Lytechinus pictus: one gene and its partner. The protein of the gene in region 2 binds, or shares a complex with, the protein of the main gene of each other region. Links are inferred from orthologs where the notes say so. Each region holds a gene or a part of one and is shown on either strand. Other genes may lie near its edges.

Region 1 (7,017 bases), on a different chromosome or scaffold from region 2:
ATCATCACCATCATCATCATCATCATCATCATCATCATCATCATCATCATCATCACGAGCATCATCACCACCATCACCACCATCATCATCACCATCATCATCATCATCAACTCACCCCCACTGTGAAGAAGACCATACATAGAATGGAGAAGGCACTGGTGTAACCAAGGAAACCGATCTTTGGCAGGCAAGCCAGGGGGAGGATGACCAATAACACAAGGAGTAGGACCAAATAGTCACCATTTACATACCATTCACTGCATTGAATTAGGAGTGTAATAGAGTACTGAAGTGTGACATGATGAAAATACAAATTTTGCATTTCATTGTTTCTCATGTCATATCTTGGAGGTGCATGACAGCTAAAATTTGCTAGGAATTGGTTCAACGGGGCCCAAGATATGACCACATCAGGGGCCGCGGAAACGGGGGGCCTCGAGGCCCCGCACTTTTTTCCAAAACGTGTACAAAAACGTAAAAATTACCATCTGATTATGTTTTTTTGCATAGTCAACCCCCCCCCCCCCCTCTTTAAAAACCGTTCCGCAGTCCCTGCACATGAATACTGAATTAGCCCTATTGAAGTCAATGTATTATTGGCCTGGTTCTAAATAATTAACTTTGAACTTGATTATGTGACTTGAAATTAATACAAATGATGAGTGATGTCCAAGTTTTATGAAATATAAATAATTTGATTTCTATGTTATGATGAAATTTCAAATTTTAACCTTGGTTAAGATTTTGATGATGATCTCTGTAGCCGCAGGCAAAACAATTAATTTCATATAAACATAAAGTTCATTTAATGAATACATGCATATTCTATATTCAAGTAAGAAGGCATTTTGATTTTGTTGTACATGCACTGCATGAAAAATCTGCATGTTATGCTTTTGCCAGTGAAAATTTTTGATTTCCGGGTGAGGGGTGCATATTTTCAATGCTATTAGTACATCAATGTTCATAATAACCTGCCTCAGAGGCAATTTGACATTATGAAAATTGAGATTGATCAAAAATATGATGAAAATAACAATTACAACTTTAAAATTTATGAATACTTGACAAGACACTTACTTTGCAGTCTGGTCTTCATGTAGGAACGTCTTGAGAACTGCTGGCATCTCATTCTTTACAATAAATAGATAACTTGACATAGCTGGGAGGATAGACAAAATAACATTACTAAGTAAAATTTAATATAAAATATTGTACTTTCAAGTTCTAATCAAATGACTGATAGTGATGACATAAGTAATCACAGAATTTGTGACATTGGTCATTATATTTTTATCACAAAATATCTTGATAGTTTACTTCTAAATACAAACTATTCTTATTTCAAAGGCATTTGGCAAACATTATTCAATCAATATTTTCTGTCAATATGTATGCAGACAATACACTAAAAAATGTTGATAATCTTTTGTTTCCCTTTTTAAAGTTATAGAATTTCAAGAAACACTGAAATATACCATTCCTTTTAAATTGGAATCTAGCCCATCAATACTAGCATTCAAATGAAGGATAAAAATATATTATAAGCCCCTACCATCATCAGTATTGAACTCAATTCTTTTTACCAGGTTAATTGCTTTTAAGGTATTTGTCTTAGTGATTTATTTATTAGTCCACTTTCCTAAATACCCATTTATTCATGAGCTAAGTTTGAAATTGACCCGTAAAATCATATGGTTTTCTTGAGGATGAAAAGGTGGAAGGACAGATGACCCTAAAACATAATGCCTCCAGCAAACCACCTTGAGGTTTATCTTAATTACATCGGAGTAAATCATATTACAAAGAGGAAAGTTAATTGTAATAGACTCATCACTCATCATTAATAATGGAGTAAATCACCCCTAATTAATATTACTACTGATATGATGATGATTATGATGATAATAATAATAGTAATAATACTACTACTAATAATAATAATATTAATAATGATGATGAAGATAATAATAATAATAATTATAATTATAAAAATAATAATAATAATAATAATACAAGAACTAAATATTAGATCCTCTACTCACCACCAACATTTTGAAGGAGTATAGCAGAAGCTGCCATTAGCTATAACAAAATCGACAAAAATTCTCATTGAATTTATTTTAATACAGTTTCATAAATAGGGAAGGAAATGAGACAGATAGTCAGAAAATAAAAGGAGGGGTTTTATCAAGAGAGTGCACTAAACTAAGACATGACACTAAAATATGAACATAACATTTACTCAAATAGTAAGGGACTAAAAGCTTACCTTGCCTGGGACACCCATTGCACTGTTCCCTATATCTTCATATGACCTATGACCTGTGATGTCACACATCTTCAGAAGGAGGTGGATTGTGTAGTTTGCCATGACAGCGACAAGCAACAGCATCACACTATGGAAAAGGACAATAATAATCATTAAAAATACTTGGTCTATCTTCATCCCCTGATAAATTTCATTGTCTTGAATGTAAATTAAGATACACTTCATAACCTGCCATATTATCATAATGAATATTTTGATCATCATAAATGCCATCATCATTATCATCATCAATGTCATGATCAACATTATTATTCAATTTAACATTTCAAAGTATAAATCCAATTTACAAGAACATATATAACAAATAATTACAATTGACAAATAACACATGCATCTGCATATTTCTGAGAGGCATTTATCATTTTATGGGTGTTCATCCCACCGCTGCCACCATAATTGATGCTGAAAGAGGTAATTCCTAGTGTAACCTAATATTATACTAACAATCAGGTTCAATGGCCATTTGGTCCAATCACTCCAATTGCCACTTGGTCTAATTCCCACTTGGGCTAATTGTCATTGAGAAAGAGATATCAAATGGTGTTAGTAACACTTCATCTGATGACCAAGGTCATTTTCAAAAAGTTACATTTTGCCTGATCTTACACGTTCACATATACAACTTGATTATCAATTATATTTTCATGAAGAACTTGAAATCAGGATTGACTCCCTCTGTATAATTAGAAAAAAATAATATCATATTTCACGCTTTGCACTTCCCTTTTTTTCCCTTTTTTTTTTGCTTGGTGGTGAAACTTGGCCCCCATAGCTTCAAACTTTCATGAAATGGATCAAATGTGTAATACCTGAAGAGGATAATACCAGATTGTGCCATTGCATAGGGTAAGCCCAAGATCCCACTCCCTAATATAGCGTTCATCAAATTGAAAACTGATAGTCCAAAAGATGTCTTCCCTGATGTAAAAGGTTCCACTCTTTCCGTCATTGCCTCCTGTAGAAAAAAAGATTACCAATAAACTTTTTAAAGAGAGATAGAAGGGAAGGTAGCACGTACGGGATGGCAAGTGTCTATATTAGTGACTAGCAAGGATGGGCCAGGATGTAAAAGCGTTATTAGATCTATTCATTTATTTATTTATTGCAAATGTTTATCGAGAGTAGCCTGTTAATTCAGGCCCTTGATACAAAAATATACACAAATATAACCACTCATAAAAAATTACTCTGCATTATTATCTTCATACATAAAAAACACAAACATGAAGAAAACAAAAACATTTCATTATAAACTTAGTAGTACGATCATGCATGATGACGATTGATGAATTGTTTGGATTGATGACTACGGTAGTCACACAAAGGGACTAGTACTAGTAGTACATCAATTTTCATGTTTTGTGTTGCAACTTGCATGTTGTTGTTACTTGACTTGCCTGCTGCACAGAAGCTGAAGGTAATAAAGGTGTATCATCCATAATACCATGGTATACTATGTTGTTTGATTGTTCATCTGCATCTTCTACACAGCTCCCGCCTAAGCGATGACATTTTGGCTCCATTTCTTTTCTACTAAAAAGCCTAAAATGCTAAATTAAAGGTATACTATTAACTGCACAGCACTTAACTTTATTCATTCATTCAATATCAACGAAAATATAAACATTGTACCTGAAATGAACGGTAGAGGGCTCTTGTGAAAATGGCGTCACCAGCCGGCAGTGCGGGTAAATTTAATTTTTTTCTTCTTACCATTGTTCTAACTTTCAGGGTGTAATGTTGGGTTAATTTTTTACTTGAGTATAATATGAAGGTAATTGGAATTATCTTAAAATAAAATGTGTATATTGTCATCTTAAAAGTACAGTCTTTTGACATTGTGGTGTTGTTGCGATTGCCGTGATCGTGAGTGTGTGTGAATGAATACCGTAAGCTTTTCTGCAGACCACCACGCTCCGCTCCGGTGACTGTTCGGCGAGCTCCTGCCTTTAAAGTTACCCTGGCTGTACCAGCAGCTTGCTTTCATGATATTTGGTGGAAATGCACTTTCGTATCCATATGCATACAGAATGGCCAGTAAAACCAGGGTGACCAGATTTCACAAATGAAATACGGGACAATCGACAAAGCACAATGCACGAGCGGATCGACTGAGCCATGCAGTCCTTGTCTTGATTTTAATTTTTTTTTTAAATGAACAAAGTCAAACTCAAAGAAGGGCTAGAGCCTAGGCCACTCATTGGGCTAGGCTAAGTAAGTTAGCTCTAGCCGACTTTAGTTTTGAGTTAAAATTGTAACAAATTTAAAAAAAAGGAAGGGAGGGTAAATGAAAAAATGAAGGAGAGAAAGAAAAGAGATGAATTGAGAAATGAGAGGAAAAAAATGAAGGGGAAAAAAAGATAACCGAATAAAAGAAGGTTGAAACGGCAAGACTTCCATATGTCCCCTCCACTAAAATTGAAAAAGAAAAAAATATGGAGAAGGTTTATCAAGAATTATCTAACATGTATCTAAGAGATTTAAGAAGGAAAAGTTGGATACATACCAAAATATGGCTTTATTCCGTCAAAATTTCGAGCGTGTGTAATTCCCAATGGCATCGGTTTATTTAGTCAGAAAAATAAATGCCCAGCCCAATACTCTTGGAGAGTAGACTAGTCGTAATATCAGTTGATATGAAATTCATACATCACAGAAAATGCCTCTTCTTTATTTGTTGACTAAATTTCAAAATGTTTCTTCTCTGTCATTTCAAGTATGATGATATATATGATTTTCTGTTGACCGATTTTGATTTTTTTTCTTCAATCTGGTAGAGCTGCATGAGGTTCACCAAACTTGTACACAAAATTTTGAAATTTTGTCTAGAAAATTATTTATGCTAATTTATGCAAAATTTATTCATAAACACAAAAAATGTTTTTTCTTCTTCATTTGTTGATCAATTTCAATTTTTTTTGCTTTATATGATAGCTCAAGGTGGTGATTCAAAATTTCAACACAGAATTTTGAAACTCATTCAATATGCTAATTTATTCATATATTTTCAAAACTCACAAAAAATACTTATTTATTTGTTGATTGATTTTGATTATTTTTGTTCCATCTGAGAGCTACATGAGGTTCACCAAGGTACTACACAGAGTTCAGAAATTTTGACGAGAAAATTATTTTTGCTTAATTTATATGAAATTTATTCATAGATTGCAAAAAATGCTTCTATGCCATTTCTTCATCAATTTCAATTCTATATCCTCAATTTACCGTATGTCACCAATATAATTCACTAAAGTGTCAACTGGGCTGAAATTAAAATTGTGTTAAATTTCGCTGCGAGATGCAGGATGAGCTCCACATCATTGATGTGCTAGTATACAGTCACTGACGGTAAATGGATTTGTGGCCTTTTTCAAGAGTTATCTTCAAATGCCAGCTTTTAAATAAATCAATGATTTTAATTGGAACAAATTACGAAAACTGTATGCATATATTGTTTATGTCAAACACACATATCAACCTATTGATGAAATCTTAGTTTCAGGCAGAATTACTATATAAACATAAAATCAATACCCCAAAACATACATCATTACAATACACAGGAGTGATGATTGCCAGGAAGATTATGGCAAATGGCAGTGATGAAATAGTTTACAGTCAGACCGCAGGTCCCTATGCTAATGAGCAAAAAGGCCAGATTCATCCAAATCATCTCGTGGCTGAATCCTCCTCCTTGCAAAATCTTGTGATTCGTGAGATTTTCTTTCTCTAAGAATTTACCTGTTTTAACCTCAAGTTAAATGAAATATTATTGCACCATCAGATAGAGTAAAAGTTACTCTTTCATATTGGTCATTTATTTTGTATACAATATTTTGTTAAATAAGTAAATTTCTGGCCTGAAAATGTGCCTCAAAACTGAATTTTCTTCCTCTGTTTTCTTTTGCAAATTGCGCAAAACTTTTTATTTTGAGCCTCTATGATATTTATATCAACATAAAGCTGAACTTCTGTACTTTCTCACAATGCCACTTTTGATATGCAGCACCTTTTAATCGGGTCAAGATCACACTTTTCCCACCAAGGTACAAGACGAGATTTCAGAAATTTTGTACTTGCATGAAATCCAGAGTTCCGATTGGCTGGATAAGAGTCACAGAACAACAGGCGCAGGGTATTTGAGGAGATTACCACATGGGAAGTGTGACCTTCCCACGAACCCAGGCACTGGAACCGTTGGAATTTGCCAGTGTGCGGTCTCTTTGACCAATCAGAATGCAGTATTCTTGTTTTCAAGCTGCTTTATGTACTTGGCAAATGAAAAGTGTGGTCTTGACCCGATTAAACCAATTCTTATTTTGAAGCCTATATCATTTCAAAGCATACATATTCAGCTTTATCGTGATATAAAAATCATTTGGGCTCAAACAAAAATAAAGTGTGAAAATAGCAGCTTTTGTCAGGTGAAAATATTTATTTTGTAGCATATTATTTTAGATCAAAATTTTAACCTATATTACAAAATCTTTGAATAAATCCAAACACATGACCTGAAAAAATGATTCTTCTTCTTTACAATGGTACCAAATTCATGAAATTCGATGCACAATTAGAGCAGCAATGACCGAATGAAAAGAGGTGTTTTGGTCCGCATCAAGCTCATTAAATATGCAAAACATCTCAAGTCATGAATATCACTTGGATGAAAGAAGCCACTTTCTTGG
Region 2 (7,704 bases):
AAAGAAACTTTAAAATGTCATAACTTTCTTATTTTACATCCAATTTTGATGAAATTTTCAGTGTTATGCTAGTTTGATTTTTCTCTATTTATTCAAATCAACATTTTTCTGGGGTGGACTTGACCTTTAAATCACTTCCATTGAAACATGTACAAATGATTGACAATATTTTTATTTGTGGCAGTTTTACTTTTTTTTTACTAAAAATAGAAAGATTTTATCAACTTTATAATCATCAAAACATTCTTCTTCATAAGCGGTTTAAAGCCCCCTACTCCACTTTCACTATGATTTTAAAAAAAAAATCATTGATTTAAATCACTTCCATTCAAACATGTACAAATGATTGACAATATTTTTATTTGTGGCAGTTTTATTTTTTTCTCCTCAAAATAGAAAGATTTTATCAACTATATATCATCAAAACATTCTCCTTCATAAGCGGTTTAAAGCCCCCTGCTCCACTTTCACTATGATTTTTTAAAAAAATCGTTGATTTAAATCACTTCCATTAAAACATGTACAAATGATTGACAATTTTTTTATTTGTGGCAGTTTTACTTTTTTTTACTCAAAATAGAAATTTTTTATCAACAATATATCATCAAAACATGAATAAATCCTTTATCGCAGTTACCACTTAGCCCCCTACTCCACTTTCACTATGATTTTTTTGTTAAATCATTGATTTAAATCACTTCCATTGAAACATGTACAAGTACAATGTACAACTCCTGGTTTATTGTACTAAAAGAAATAATTCAAATAAACCTGCAACTTTTCCCAATAAGACACAGCTTTGCAAATCAATGATTTAAACAATAACAAAGCTCCAACCATGGCTCAAATACCAAAGGAGGTTTAAATTTGTTTTTTAAATGGAGTTTTTTTTATTAAACACATGATTTTCAGTCCTTAGTTTGAAAATCAAGAATGTTTCTCTTTCAAGAATATGAGTCTCTGAGTCATGGAATTCTTCCAAAGAAACTGATCCTCATTTCATATTTGAATAGGAACACTAACTTATTAGCTGTACCAAGGCAGTTCCTCAACTTGACCAAACCAGTCAGTAGGAGCTAAATACCCGACACGAGAGGATGCGGAAACAGCATCTTCGTCATGACTTTATACAGACCTGCATACATGTATTCTTTATAAATTACATTTTGGCTGGATTTAATTATGAAATAGAAAAGTTAATAATAATTTTAGTTGTGAAATGTATGATTTTTAAAAAGATTTCAGTGTAAGGGTTATATTTTTGGTATTTCCACTTTGTTTTAGAAAATAGTCAAAAAAAAAAAAATCTGATTTGAATAAAAAAAAATTGATTTAAATCAAATAAATCCTATCAATTTATTTTTTTTTTATAAAAAAAATCGCCAACCCTGACAAAATAGATCTAATGACAAACGTTACATGTACATATGATTTTTATTTGATTCAATGGACAATGATGTTTTGGTCCAATTAAATTTAGATCTATGCTTAACTTAATATAAGTGTCCAATATTTGGGTACTTAGTTTTACTCTAAATTATCTAAATTTCTAATTCATTTTTTTTCATAGGAAACTCATACCAAAAAATCTAGGAATTCATACATGCATACGTACTGTAGACCAAAACTTTGGTCTCTGTTATGTTGGTTGTTCCGCTGAACTCTGTAGGCTCCACTCACCAATTACAGAGACCAAAGTTCTAACTCGATCTGTACAGGGACTCAATGGCCATATGTTTATGTATTAAGTTTGGAAAAACCAGGGAAGCTCGAAGTGGCAGTTGCGCGACAGCCGAAGCTTGCGAAGTAGACTATCAAAGTCACTGTTTTTTTCCTTTTGAGTAAGTTTTTTCCCCGTTTTGGTGCATTTCAGGCCAAAACGGAATACTAATCTTTATTTTGGTCCATGAGCCCGTCAGGGGTTTTTGCATTGTTATTTATGTTAACCCCCTAATAATGGCGGCTGCACAATCGCTACCGTCTATTAATCATGGTGACGTGTGTAGAATTAAAACAAAATTTAAAATGTTTAAAAAAGTACTTCTCGAAACAGACGGCTACCAGCTGTCTAACTAGACTAAAACTTAAAAAAAAAGCTTCGGTCTCTGTTACATTTACATGTATGTTGGTTGGTTGGCTCCACTCACCAAATACAGAGACCGAAGTTCTAGCTCGATCTGTACAGAGGACTCGATGGCCATACACTTTATGTTTATGTCTTAAGTTCGGATAAAACAGGGATGTGAAGTTGCGTGACAGCCAAAGTAAGTCACTGTTTTTTTATTTTTCCCCAGTTTTAAGTTTATTTTTCCCCGTTTAGGTGCACTTCAGGCCAAAACGGAATACTAATCTTTATTTAGGTCCAGTTCTTTTTGTATATTTTTAAGAAATAAAGACAAAAATCCATGAGCCCTATCGGGAGGAGTTTGCATTGTTATTTATGTTTACCCTCTAAAGGCTCTATGGCGGCTGCACAATCACGAGCCGTCTTGTGACGTGTGTACGAGGAGAATTAAACAAAATTTAAAATGTTAAAAAAAACTTCTCGAAACAGACGGTTGCCAGCTGTCTAACAACATACATGAAGCATTGTCCTCCATGGTAGACTACAGCATGGAGAGTCTGTGTCCAACAATACACTGGCCAGGCCATGTTTAACCCATGCAGAGGCCGTCAACTACCAGGCAAGACACACTCACTGCCCCGACAAGCACGGCCAAAATTGTCCTCGCGATCGAGTGGGGTCACGGCTTCGATCACAGCGAAGCTCTCCACCCAAGCACCTTTTACGTGGCGAATTGATTTAGTGATGCAGCAATTTTATATCACAGGGCCGTAATAAAACTGCAAATAAACTGATTCATAATAGACCAATCGCTTTGGAACTTTAAAGTACATTTAACCATTTCCATACATGTAATATCAATGAGCTGATGATAAAAAATATCTTACGGTTAATGAGAAAATCCTACTTTAATCGAGGACATCGTTACCATCCATTTGTTCAAAATCACGCGCCGATCAATGGTCTTCTCTCCATTCGGCCTATTGTAATTGTACACTTCGTATTTCGCATACGTTTTTACCACACAACCTCGCATAATAAATAAATATTAAAAAGTGTTATCTAAGAATAAAGTTAGGCACAAATTTGATATAAATAAAATATTTTGCTTTAAAAATGTATTTTATTATTGGCAGAAAACTTTTCTTTATAAGTGTAATTTATCATCACATTATTACATTCTCACAAATTGATCAGTCTCGCTCAACATGGCAGCTTCCATGAAACAACAATTATCGACTCTCTTGAGCGCTGGTGGGGCTCCAAAAGACCTAACAGAAAAGTAAATATCATTTAAGAGTATTCAAAATAGTTTTCAATGTTTGATTTGTCTTCTTTAATAGGAAATTGTTATTTTATGAGTATAATTGATCCCTCCTTTCATCATAGAAGATCGTGGGATTAACATTTTTGTTGTATGCATATACTGTAGTGTAGTCCCACGCATTATATCTTTTGTCAGTATGAGGATACCCATTGCCCATTGGCTCCTCGATCCTCTCATTCACACTTGTTCACTGCAGCCAGGGTGACCAGATTTCACAAAATGAAATACGGGAAAATTGACAAAAAAGATCAACAAAGAAGGCTACACAGTATTCGACTTGTGAAAAAATATAATTAAAGAATTGGAAGGGTGGGTGAACGAAGAATGAAGAAGAGAAAGAAAAGACGAAAGAAAAGAGATAAATTGAGAATAAAGAAAGAAAAAATGAAGGGAAACAAATATAAAAGAATGAAAGAAAGTTAGAATTAAAGAATAATACTTTTAATAGAGAGAAAAAAGGTTTCCGTCATTCTTTGAATTGAATATAGAAAGAAAAGAAAGGAAGGGAAGATGAATAAATGTGTGAAAGACAAAATAAAGGAGAGAGAGAAGAAAAGAATGAAGGAAATAATAATGTTTCCTTTGAAAGAAAGAAACAAAGAAAGAAGAAAAACAGGAAGGGAGGAAGGAGGGTAGGAAGGGAAATAAAGAATAAGGGAAAGAATTAGAAGGAAAGATAAAACAAACAAAGAAAGAAAGAAAGGGAGGAGAGAATGGAAAAAAGAAAATAATGGAAGGAGAGAAAGAACGGAAAGAAAAAGGAGAGGAAAGGAGAAGGAAGCAAATAAAGAAAAGTTTAAGGAAAGAAAGAATGAAGGAAATAAAAATGGAAATTGAATAAAGAAGGAAAGAAAAATGAACAGAGAGAGAGAAAGGATCAGGAAAGAAAGATCGGAAATAAAGATAGATCGAACAAAAAAGGGCAAGCAGGATGGATAGAAGGATGAAAGAAGGATAGAAAAGAAAGAGGAAAAAAGTTCAAACTTCAAGCAAACAAAAACAATCCAATCTATCGAAAATCATAATGATATTTGGTGTTTTTTTTTAAACTTAAATGTTTTAGAAATGAATAAAATTTCAAAGTGAAATATTGTCAACTTAAAATTAGATGAAACGTGGCATCATACATAACAAGACTCAAAACGAAAGCTGAAACACCTAGATCTAGCTATGAAAACTCAATAACTTGTTCCTCCGATTACATCTCCAAATCAGTAATCTGAGAATCCATAATGTAATTATACAAGTTCCCCACCGATTTTGTGTCGTTGTTTGCTCCATTGAGAATCTGCTGCGATCCTACTTGCCTAGCTAGTAGCCTGCCACACACAGGCAGGAGGCCAGTTCGTTTTCAATGTATATGGTTAGCAAGAAAATCACTGCAGAACTTTAAAGTTTAGTTATTGATTTGATTGTTGTCTCTGCTTCGTCATCTGTTGGTTATTTTATGAAAATTCGTCACTTTTAAATGTATTAACTACATTTTGTTCAATATTCTGAAATACGGGACAAATAGGCGTCCCAGGAAGGGTTTGTCAGGACGCCGGGACAAAGCAAATTACGGGATGATCCTGGGAAATATGGGACGTCTGGTCACCCTGACTGCAGCCCCTGCCTGTGGGGAATCTTCATGTAGATCTATGGTATGCCAATGCAGTACACAGCACACACTTTAAAATTTCATTAAAAATATCACTTTTGACTTTGGTCACCCAAAATACTAATTTCCATAGTAACAATACAAATTACAGTTGCAATTTATTTTTCATGATAAAGTAAAATAAAGGGACTAAAGACATTACTCATTGGACTAACTTGGAAATCATTTTTTCATTCACCAGAGCTCTCAAAACCTTGAATTTGGGGCATATTTTGTGTACACCCTCTATTGGTGCATGGTGGAAAGTAAAATTGCAAGAAAATTGTTCTATGCTAGTTTGATTTTTCTCTACTTATTCAAATCAACATTTTTCTGGGGTGGACTTGATCTTTAAGAGCCAAGTTATTGATTTTGATGAATAGTTGTATGGAAACTGACAGTGTCAAAAAATCTAAACATTTTTCCCCAAGAACATGAGAAAATAAGCCAAACATTTGCCAACCTTACTTCACCACACAGGAAATAGTTATAGAGAACAAGGTTCTATCATAACCTTGTTCATTGAATGAGTGCTCATTGTTGAATTTTCTACCGTCAAATTAGTGATTTTGAGACAGAATTTGAGATTATTGTTAGTACGGGAAGCTAAACAACATCAGCTGGGTATCAGCAGAGTAAGGTGACAATGACATGGCTGGGCTCGAGTCATGACAATATGAAATCATTTATTTCAAATGTCATGTATTCCTTGATAAGCTTGATATCTGTTTATAATTCAGGGTGAGGGTCACGATCGTCCCAATTAATTCAGGGTTCAAACCGGGGGGGGGGGGGGGGGGGGTGCACTCAGTATATAATGCGTTGTGGGTATGTGCTGCGGAGGGGACCCCCATTTTTACACTCAAATTTCCGTTCCAAGGCATAGCATTTTTATCTTATTGAGAAAAAGATCAAAGAAAGCCGCTCCAAAGCATAGCATTTTCTTCTTATCGAGAGAAAAGAAGAAAGAAATCCGCTCCAAAGCTTAGCATATTTTTCGTTACGGTGTTCTGGCTGCATTGATCCGCTACAATGTGCTGCAATTTTGGTGAAAAGCGGCCGCAGAGCGCTGTCCGTCCATCGCCTCTGCGCGAGCGCACCCGGCGTCCGTGCTGCCGGGCTAGCTGCATGCACGTATGCCCATTCCATAGGGATGCATTCGCACTCACATGCTGGCGACCCGTTCCAAGGACCCCGTTTTCACAAACATTTATAGTTCCGAAGCCTGTTCCGAGGACCCTCCTTTTTACAATAAGCCCGCTCTAAAGGTTTTTGTCTCGCCCGCGGCACATACCTACCACTTTTTTAGTCGAGTACCCCCCAGGGTTCAAAGGGTTAAGCACGGGTGTGGAGGGGGGGCAAGCCAGAAGTTTATTAAGAAACAGAAATATTGGGGGGGGGGAATCTACTGGAAATGATGAGTACTGCCCCTTTGACATGTCCGTTTACAACTTCCAGACATGGAGCCCTATGAACCTATTGATGGCTAATTTTGCTCACCCATTTTTTTTACGCCCTGCTTGAAAACTTGGACACCCAATTCTAAAATCCTGGCTAAAGCCCTGCTGGGCCTGATCCCTACCCAATACTTTTTCCTTCTAAATCTTAAGTTTTCTTTCATAAAATAATACTTCTACCAATGTTATAATATTGGTCAAATTTGTTAGCATGCCCAACCGCCATTAAATCCACCAGACCAAATAGATATTTAGTAAATTTTCTTGTTTTCATTGTCAAATTGTTACTACTAATTTGGACGGATTATAAGCTATTATTAAATTTCCAATGAAAATATGAATATTAACACTGGTCATCAAGATGGGATTCCAACCTATGCTAAGACATTGAAATGAAGAGAGGTTTGCCGGGCATATTTGCTAATATTACCAACATATTTGTCTATTTTATTGCAAGGTTCGATCGTAACGAAATTGATCTCGATATTTTGTAAGTATGACATCTTGAAATGTACTGCCATGTTTTATATTGTAGTTGTAGTTCGACAAATCACATCAGGTCATGTAAGTTACAATTGAATCCTTTAAATTTGATGACACATTATCATTGGTAATGATTCAATCAGATAATGATAATGAACATTTTCCTATATTTTTATCACGTGCAGATATCGTAAAATCCTAACCGATATTCTACAGCTTGGTGAAGATGACCTAGTAAACGGACTGCAGTTCTTCATTGAAACAAGTACGTAGATTCCTATTTCTAATTAAAAAAAAAAATTTAAGGGAAAATTCTGTTGGGAGGAGGTATTGGAATAATAAGTATGAGCTTTCAAGAACTACCTCGTGTTATTTAACCCTTAACGTGCTATGAACACATATCTGTGCATCCACTGGAGTGCCACAAACACATTTTCGTGCAATGGTCATACAGCTATTGTTATGCCTATTGCATTTTGAGGAGTGCATTGCATGCATGAGTGATTCCATTGTTCAGTTTAGCTTATGGTCAAGAGGTTTAACATAATTGTCTCATGAGTGATTCTCTTTTTTATAAATAAAACATTTAAATATAGACTCTGAAAAAAAAGTGGCACTCGCTGATTACAGTGAATGGCACATTAAGATTAAGAGTTAAAAAGGATATAAGAGTAAAAAGGTCCACTGCAGAGGATTGCGTTTCAGTTGCCCTCACATTTAAAGTGGATGCATT

The links.
Region 1: protein lin-54 homolog (region 2) and protein lin-52 homolog share a complex: the UniProt entries of both Homo sapiens proteins name them as parts of the DREAM complex. The link is inferred for Lytechinus pictus from reciprocal best matches to the Homo sapiens genes LIN54 and LIN52.

What each region holds. Positions count from the first base shown.
Region 1 is NC_087251.1:29,398,567-29,405,583, reverse strand, and holds the start of protein lin-52 homolog, read left to right. Parts: upstream 1-3,933; 5' UTR 3,934-3,964; coding exon of another isoform or gene 3,965-3,995; coding exon 3,996-4,020; coding exon of another isoform or gene 4,021-4,048; exon of another isoform or gene 4,049-4,063; intron 4,064-4,220; coding exon of another isoform or gene 4,221-4,319; exon of another isoform or gene 4,320-4,504; intron 4,505-7,017. Other genes in the region: probable sodium-coupled neutral amino acid transporter 6, read right to left, coding at 116-257, 1,081-1,162, 2,046-2,085, 2,273-2,399, 3,142-3,287, 3,730-3,882, 4,221-4,319.
Region 2 is NC_087262.1:10,333,936-10,341,639, reverse strand, and holds the start of protein lin-54 homolog, read right to left. Parts: upstream 3,066-7,704; 5' UTR 2,953-3,065; intron 1-2,952. Other genes in the region: COP9 signalosome complex subunit 4-like, read left to right, coding at 3,274-3,347, 7,157-7,236. UniProt on the Homo sapiens protein: Component of the DREAM complex, a multiprotein complex that can both act as a transcription activator or repressor depending on the context. In G0 phase, the complex binds to more than 800 promoters and is required for repression of E2F target genes.